2 linked regions of the Cricetulus griseus genome follow. The protein of the gene in region 1 interacts with the protein of each later gene in a pairwise test. Links are inferred from orthologs where the notes say so. Each region holds a gene or a part of one and is shown on either strand. Other genes may lie near its edges. The genes, in order: Hprt1 and Iscu.

Region 1 (4,284 bases):
CACAGATATTCTGTTTGTTCATTCATTCATTCTTTTTTTTCCTTTTTTCAAGACAGGGTTTCTCTGTGTAAGAGCCCTAGCTGTCCTGGAACTCTCTCTGGAGACCAGGCTGGCCTCAAACTCAGAGATCTGCCTGTCTCTGCCTCCTGAGTGCTGGTATTCAAGTTGTCTGCACCACTGTCCAGCTGTTCATTCTTTATTGGCTGTTCATTCTTTATTGTGATATAGAATAGTGAACATAGAGCCTCCCACATACTCTGGCTGCACTATACTCTTGGCTCTTTCATTCTTTTCTTTTTTTTTTTTTTTTTGGTTTTTCCAGACAGGGTTTCTCTGTGTACCTTTGAAGCCTATCCTGGCACTCGCTCTGGAGACCAGGCTGGCCTCGAACTCACAGAGATCCACCTGCCTCTGCCTCCCGAGTGCTGGGGTTAAAGGCATGCACCACCAACGCCCGGCGACTCTTTCATTTTTTTCAAACATTAGTTAGTCAGTTGTTCTTTTGTCAGGGCCTCACTTTGTATCCCAGGCTGGTCTGGAACTCACAATTGCAATTCTCCTACCTCCAGAGTACTGGAATTACAAGCATGTTACCACATATGGCTAAAATTCCCCTTGTAAGCAATGACAACAGCTTCCTTGGTAACATGAACTTGCATGAGCATTTCTTTCCTTTGTATGAGCATATTGCAGTCATGTGCAGGCGCGTTCGCCTGTGCAGCAGCTTCAAGAGGCCAGAGGATGAGGGCAAAATATCTTCCTCAGTCCCTAGTACACTTTAGCAAATTTTATTTTGAAACAATTTCTTACTAAATTGCCCAGATATGTTGAATATTCGATCCTTCTTGGTAGCTGGGCATATAATCTGCTTTTTTTTTTTTTTTACCTCGCCTGCGTTAAAAATGCTCATTCTATGTAAAGGCAAAAAGCAGTTTGGGGTCGATTTTACAAGGTTACAAAGCAGTTTTCTTTTCCTCTTGGTTCTGTACCCTGATCAGGCTATTCTAGGGTTGTAGGTCTCAAGTCTTAAAACTAAGTAAGGACTTTTTTTTTAAAGAACTGCTTCTAAATCAGGAAAATGGAAGCCATCCACCATGTGGGGCTTGGGAAGGGGACGTCTGGCTTGAGGAACCACATGGTGACAAGAACCTGAAGAATCCACCAGTTTAATAGTCAGGAGGAGAGAAAAAGAAATGCGAACTGAGGTAGGTTTGATTATTTGGGAGTCCTCTGGGATACTGGAAGCGGCCCGGAAATTGCTGTGTGACCAGTGCTGGATTTTTCCAGAAGAAAATTCCCAGGAGTACCTGGCCCCAGGAGCCACCCAGTAGCGGCTCTCCCGCAGAGGAGCGCGGGAGAACGCCCACCCTCGCCGCCAGGGGCGGGGCCTGGGCGGTCCGAGGGGCGGTCCGAGGGCGGGGCCTCGGCAGCGGCGTCTGTGACCCGTTGCCGAGGCGGCGGAGAAGCTAGTTGGGTTTACCTCACCGCTTTCTCGTGCCTCGGCGCCTCCTCTGCGGGCTTCCTCCTCACACCGCTCTTCGCTCCCGCCAGCCGACCGATTCCGTCATGGCGACCCGCAGCCCCAGCGTCGTGGTGAGCCCCGGGACTCTTCAGCAGAGCGGGACAGCCAGGCCTAGGCGGCTGGCTGCTCAGTGGCGCCGCTCGGGGCCCGTTGGCGGGCCTTGGGTGTTGGGGCCCGCGGAAGTCCGGGGCGGGGGCGGTCACCGCTTCCCGGAATCCGGCTGCGCGTCCCCAGAGGGCGGCGGGCAGCAGGATGGAATGGCGGGGTTCAGGGCTGGGTCTCCCCTGGGAGCCCCGAGACGGTTGACTGCTTGTGAGGCAGGCAGGTGGAAATGGCGTTGCCTTGACATGTGCGGCCACCGGGAGCCCGGCGGGGAGAGGCGGAGGGCGACTTGGAGAAAGATACCTCACGGAGAGGGGAGAGGGGAGAGGGGAGAGGGCGGGGGAGCTTTCTCGGGGAGACCCTTGCTCTTGAAGTTCGGGGCTTGGCGGCCAGGGAGAGCTTCGGGGGGCGCCTCTGGAAGGAGCTCCAGTACCCTACACGACAGCATGGGAGGGCACGTTCAGGCCTGGGCTTTGCCTCTAATTCTGCAGATGTCATAATTCGTATTTGTGGAATGCGCAATTGCTCCATTGAATCCGCGTTGCGGCCCTGCTACTGGAAAAGCATGTCTGTTTTCCCACCTGAGGAGACTAGTGAAAAGGCGGCTCATTTTTTTTCCCACGGCTTGGGGTTGGGGTTGAGATACATTTGTCCTTGATGCTGTGAGGAATTTGTTTTTAAATATGGATTTAGTTGTTAGGCTAAAGGACATTTTCCCCCCAGTCAGCCCCTGTATTTTGTCTCTTCTCCCATTGGCTCTATTTTTCGTAACCTGACAAGCTGATCCCCCACTCTGCTCCACAACCTTGCTTGCTAAAATAACTTAAAGCTCCTGCCTCCGATTAAATATTTTAGCCTGCTTTATTGTGATTATTGCCCCTACTACTAATTAAATGTCATATCATTCTTTATTAATATCACTGTGGTAGATTTCGTAGTTACCTGGTTACTTGTTGATTGTCTCTCCCACTTACACAAACTAATTATTTTCATTTTTCTGGAAGGGTCTTACTGTGTAGCTCTGGGTGGTTAGGAATTAGCAATGTAAACCACCCGGCTGGTCATGAACTTGTGACAGTCCTCTTGACTCTTGCCTCCCAAGTACTGCAACACCATGGCCTGCTGAGTTTTTTTTCGTGGTAGGAACTGAACCCAGAGCTTTGTTCCCGATAGGTGAGCTGTCTACCTCTGAGCCAAAGGCTACCGCCCTTAAACAAGCTTTATAGGTCAGGAATCAACATTGTAGCTTTAGCATCTAGCACAATGCCTGGTTTGTGGGGAGCTTCCATTAATAGTATGTTGAGTGAATTAATAAGCATTTGAGCCTAAAAATGCTGTCTCATAGTCATATTAGACAGTGTGGCTTAAGGTAGAAACTCTGTTTTTTTGTTTGTTTGTTTTTTTGGATTTTCGAGACAGGGTTTCTCTGTGGCTTTGGAGGCTGTCCTGGAACTAGCTCTTGTAGTAGACCAGGCTGGTCTCAGAACTCACAGAGATCCACCTGCCTCTGCCTCCCAAGTGCTGGGATTAAAGGCCTGCGTCACCAACGCCCGTTGAAACACTCTGTTCTCAATGACCTGGAGTCCTGCTCTTGATTCCCCAAGTAAACCAGGCCTTGGATTTACAGTCATCTTGCTTCTACCTCAGTGAGGGGATTACATGCAAGCATGTGCCATCTTCTGGTTTGAGGAGCTGGCTGCTGGTGTTGAAAGGACTGTAAGACAATATGCAAATAAACAAGCATTTCACAGTTCCTGGGTGGAAACAGGAATAATAACCATCATTGTCTTTACATAGATGATCCTAATTAGTTTTCAGAATAACCCTGTAACAATGGTGTGTTCACATTATCAGACATAATAGGGGGAGAGACCCCCCTCAAGTATTCAGCCCTGGTTTAGATTAGCACCAGAAGCAAGGATAAATTTTAGGCGGTGGAGCTCTGCCTTAAAAAATAGATCTATCTCTGGAGCCTATGGGCAACAGTCTGCTGTTATTTTTATTTGGTTACTGAGGAGTTCTACAGATGCCTTTAAGTTTTGAGATTTGGTACTTGTAGAGTATAGAGCTAATTAGTTCTTAATCTTAGAAGTGACTATTCTTAGTTTTGTTTGAACATCAAGAAATTCACTATTTTTAGCTTGCAAATTCCTGTTCCTTGTTTTTAAGTTTCCTTCCCCTAAATTGTCTGCATGTTAGGAATAACAAACACAAAAACACTTAACTAGTGCTTACTGTGTGCTAGTTGCTCTTCTAAGTCCTTTAACTGACTTGATTTTTTTCCTAATTTTTCTGTATATGGCTGTTTTGCCTGCATGTATGTATGTAAACCACATGCTTGCCCTGTGCCTGTGGAGTCCAGAAGAGCTCATCAGATCCTCAAGAACTGGTATTTCAGATGATTGTGAACTGCCAATGGAGGTTCTGGAAATGAACCCAGGTCCTCTGGAAGAGTAATAAGTGCTCTTATTACTGAGCCATCCTCCAACCCCTACCTGACTTACTCTTTAAAAAAATTTACACAGAGGAGTTAAGGAACTTTGCTAAATCATTCAGTGCCATTACATTTGAACCTGTTCTCTGGCCCCAGATTCTACCCTTAACCAGTAAATTTAAGCTAGGAGCTATAGTAAATGTTTCTTAGATACCTTTCTCTGTCT
Region 2 (4,325 bases), on another chromosome or scaffold:
TGGCTGGCCACCCGGACCACTGCTCTCCTTTACTCCGCCCTCATCCTTGTGATTTTGACTTCTGAACCCCCTCAACACAAGATACTTCTACCAGCCTCTAAGTGTGCCTTTCTGGAATCCCAGTCGAAACAGGAGATAGGAGGAAACAAGGAGTAATTATTACACAGTATTCTCAGGAAACCTTAGGGAAAGCCCATGGTGGTTTCTTTTCAGTTCTGCTTGGTCAGAGGGACTGGTGATGACCCTCGTCTATTTAGCTGATAACCAAGTAACAGTAACAAAAAGCCTCAAAATGGTTCACAACTCCCAATGTGAGGAATGTAACCAGTATTAAACTTTAGAAAATGGCTTCAAGAAATCATTGACATCTTTTTTTTCCCCCTAAGCAAGGTCTTGCTGCCTTTCCCAAGCTGGTTTTGAACTAACTATCTTCATCTTCCTGCTTTTTGTTTTGTGATTTATGACTAGACTCTTCCAGAGCCAGGGTTGCAGGGAATTCTGATTTAATTCTATGATTATGTTGAAACAGGTCTCATTATGTGCACAAGGCTAGCCTGGAATTCAGAGATCCTTCTGTCTCTGCCTTCTGAGTGCTGGGATTAAATAATTCTATACAATCTGTGACCACTCTTACCGTCTTTCCCTTTACCCACTCCGTGGCTAGGGAGCTGGAGGCGATGGCGGAGCCGCAGCCAAATGTTTTAAATCTGGCATCCACAATCTTCCCCTTCTCATCCACCTGGATCTAGAAAAGAAACAGGCGCTCAGAGGTGATTCCTGGACCTGACATCTAGAATGCAAGAGCCTGGAACTTCTGGCCCACAGTGTGTGTTATGAATGAGCCCTGGCTTGCTGCCCACACCAGATGCCATGGCACTGATTACTGTTTTTTTTGAAAGAGCTCAGTCACTGACAGTGAAACTCGGGGTCCACACAGGCCCAGCCGGTAGAGAGAGAGGAGCAGGGAAACGATGGCTCTCACCCTACTTTGGTTGTTTTCAACCCTAGTCTGCTGTATGTGAATTCTAAGCAGAAGTCTGCTGACAGCTGCTGCCTCTATCGGCCTCCTTAGGCACCAGGAGAGCCTGCAATCCAGGTCCTCATTAATGTCTTGGACACCGACTATAATTAGTGGCTCCTTCCTACTGCTTACTCAGGTGATACACATCATCTCCCGCCCCTTCCTCTTCCTGGAAAGGTTCGGTTAGCACATTCCCTTTCTCACTGTCGAGTGCTAGCTCATGCGGATTCTTCCATTGGCCAGTAACATTCATAAAGCCTTTCACTCACTGAAAAGGGGTCTACAGTGATGCAGTGAAGAGGAAAATGAAGTCATCTGTTTCAGAACAAGACAAGCCTCTACCCTCACCATCCATGACAGCCACTCAATCTGTCTCACAGGAATGGACAGACAAGACGATTTGCTACGGTGATCCTTTCCATCCAGCCAGTACCTGCAGTTTCATGACGTCACCACACGCCGGCGCACCCACCAATCCGGTCCCGACGTTTTTGGATGTTTTGTCAAGGGACCCCACATTCCTAGGATTCTCATAATGATCTACAACCTGAAACGACAGATTAACAGACTTCACCATCTCCCTTGGGTCAGCAATCCCAATGGGACAGAGGTGGGAGGGCAATGTGTGACGTAGACTCTTTCCGTCTCCTTCCTGACGACCTTCATCTAGGAGATACTGTCCGAGATATTGGCAAGAAACTCAGGTTACAACTTAGGTTCATAGGTATTTCAACCACAATTTAATCACGTGACTTACACAATGACACCAGCTTTGGGCTCAAACACCACTTACTTACATTTTTTACCAAACAAAATATACTGTCGTAAGAGAATTACGCATTTTAAAACTCCAAGGGTACAAATGGCCCCAAATGGAAGATTTCCTAAGTGTCAAGGTGACTGTTTCAGATGAGCCAAGGTCGCCGTGGCGCCGCGCCATTTGTGGCTGTAAACATAAACACAATGCCACCCTGGTGCAGGAGCGCCCCCTGGTGCCGTAAGGCTTCCAGCCCGCCCAAATTCCTGTGGATACTAATGTCAACAAAACACGCTCCTCTTTGGGGGGGGGGTTGAAGGCCTTGGCAAAAGCATGCAAACAAGAATATAACAGACAAGAATATAACAGACAGACATTACAGTCAGGAATAGTAAGATTTAATAACTTTGATTTTTTTTTTTTGGCTAGTTACCAGGAGGCGCCCTCATTTGCAGATTGAGTCTAAGCCCTGAGGCCCCACAACGCACATCTCATCTGATGTCTTGTCTAGCTGTGGTAGTCTTTTTTGTTTTTTTTTTCTTTCTTTCCCGAGAGTCTCTTGTCAGGGGGCCTTCACGTCCTTAGAAGATAGGGGGCCACAAACTACCTACCCTTCTATACTTTGTGCTCCCCGAAAATACACAAACAAATAACCGAGAGCCAAAGTTGTACGTAGGTTAGGTGCTTGGTTCGCCCGGGGCCCATCAGCTCTTAAAATAACAACATGGCCGTAAGCGGTTTCCATTCGTTGGACCGAGCGCTCCGCACACAGGGGGCTGCCGAGGACCCTTTTTGGATCTGGGGGGACGGGTCAGGCGATGGCAGTGGCCTGGCGAGGACGCTGGTGCTGGGCAGTGAGCTCAGATTCAGAAACGTGTGTGTGTGGCGCCCCTTGACCCCCGGCATGACATACCGGGACCCTCCCTTCTGGGCTGGCAGAGTCGGGACACTCCAAGTGGCGGGGCTGAGGTTGCCGCGGGATCGTCGGGGGTGCTCATCCGGGCAACGGCTGCAGGTCGGGTAACTGCGCAGCGGGGGTAGGCGAGCCGGGGAGTAGCTGGGGAGCCGACCGCCTCTCCCAGGGGCACCCGGCTGGCGCCGGTCGCCCGTCCCCTCGGTGGTTCGCGCACCCCCTCGCCAGCCCATACCTTTTTGTGATAGAGCCGGGCTGGGGCCGACAGCTCCCGGGCGGGCAGTCGCGGGCTCCGGAGCAGCAGCGCGGAAGCCGCCCTCCTCAGACGGCCCGCTCCGACCGCCGCCATGTTGCCGGCTCGCACCTGCGTCGATCGCGGCGACGTCAAAGCCAGGGCGCGCTAGCCTGACGTCACCGGGCGTTGCGGCCGTCGGCCCCGCCCCCGGGAGGGGCGTGGCGGGCACAGAGCGGGAAGGTCTGAAGCGGCGCTAGGCTGGGTGTTGGGGCTTTGCTCGGGCCGCCGCAGGGGTCTCGGGCGGGCTTGGGGTTCGAACTGGCGCGAGTCCCGGTTAAACTCCGTGTTCTGGCTGCGTGGCTCAGGAAGCGGGCTCTCTTTGCTAATTCAAGCACAGCCCTTTCATCTGGAGCAAATGCGTAGTGAGTGCACACGGGGCGTCACCACAGAATCTTGGGGGGGGGTCCCCCGGAAAGCAAGACGGACGCGACTCCCGCCTCGCTAACCTTGCTAGTGAAGGAGAAAGGCAGTGTGCATTGAAAAGCGCCAACGCTTTTCTACCCCAAGGACGAGAAGTGTAAGAAGGAAACGCCCCGACATATCCATGAATGAAACTCCCCGTTTTATGGCAGTGCACGGCATCCCTAGACAACACTTACTGCACATTACCAATAACACTGGCTATGAACCTGTGAAGTCACAAAATTCACGGGGTTAACACCTAGGAGGACGCTTTATCCTTCCGGAGACAGAACGTTCTCGTGAATGGTGCAATCCGATCGCCGAGGAACCCGAGTTTTTTTTTTTTTTTTTCTGCACCCGAGGCTCGGTTGCTGGGAAACAAGCAAGCACTTAGAGCCGGCTGAGCGAGGCAGAAGGCGTTCAGTCCCAAGAATGACTTTGACCTTCTTAAGATGGCGTTTCGACCTTAACCACAGACACCACGCTCACACGACTTCCGCTGTGGCCGCCACTTCCGGTTCAAAGACCCAACAGCTGTCCAAAGTTGTAACGGAATTCACGTTATGCTCATGAGCCTTTTTCCCCCGACATTGCCTCCTTTAGAAATATAAAGATATATCCGCGGTGGTTATTTTACGGGTTTCCCGCCTCTCCAGGCCCTCCGTGCCGCTTCTAGTGCTGACGAAGCGGCGTTCTGATTAGGCGGACGCCGCGGACAGCCCGACGTTCGCCGGGCTTCGGCGGGCGAGGGAAGACCCGAGACTCGCAAGCTGCGCAAGATGGCGACTGCGGCTGCAGCCTCTGCGTCCGAGCCGGAGGTTGAGCCCCAGGCGGGGCCTGAGGCCGAGGGAGGGGAGGATGAGGCGAAGGCAGCCAGTGCGGACAGGAATGTGCAGTCCCGCGCTGTGGCCTCCGACGCGGCCAAGACCAAAGGGCC

Evidence for each region.
Region 2: the proteins of Hprt1 (region 1) and Iscu interact in binary tests that used the Homo sapiens proteins (3 or more experiments, as listed by UniProt). The two-hybrid records come from large-scale screens. The link is inferred for Cricetulus griseus from reciprocal best matches to the Homo sapiens genes HPRT1 and ISCU.

The regions. Positions count from the first base shown.
Region 1 is NC_048604.1:17,040,496-17,044,779, reverse strand, and holds the start of Hprt1 (hypoxanthine-guanine phosphoribosyltransferase), read left to right. Parts: upstream 1-1,424; 5' UTR 1,425-1,566; coding exon 1,567-1,593; intron 1,594-4,284. UniProt on the Homo sapiens protein: Converts guanine to guanosine monophosphate, and hypoxanthine to inosine monophosphate. Transfers the 5-phosphoribosyl group from 5-phosphoribosylpyrophosphate onto the purine.
Region 2 is NC_048597.1:93,416,977-93,421,301, reverse strand, and holds the start of Iscu (iron-sulfur cluster assembly enzyme ISCU, mitochondrial), read right to left. Parts: upstream 3,084-4,325; 5' UTR 3,041-3,083; coding exon 2,927-3,040; intron 1,569-2,926; coding exon 1,455-1,568; intron 746-1,454; coding exon 635-745; intron 1-634. Other genes in the region: squamous cell carcinoma antigen recognized by T-cells 3, read left to right, coding at 4,168-4,325.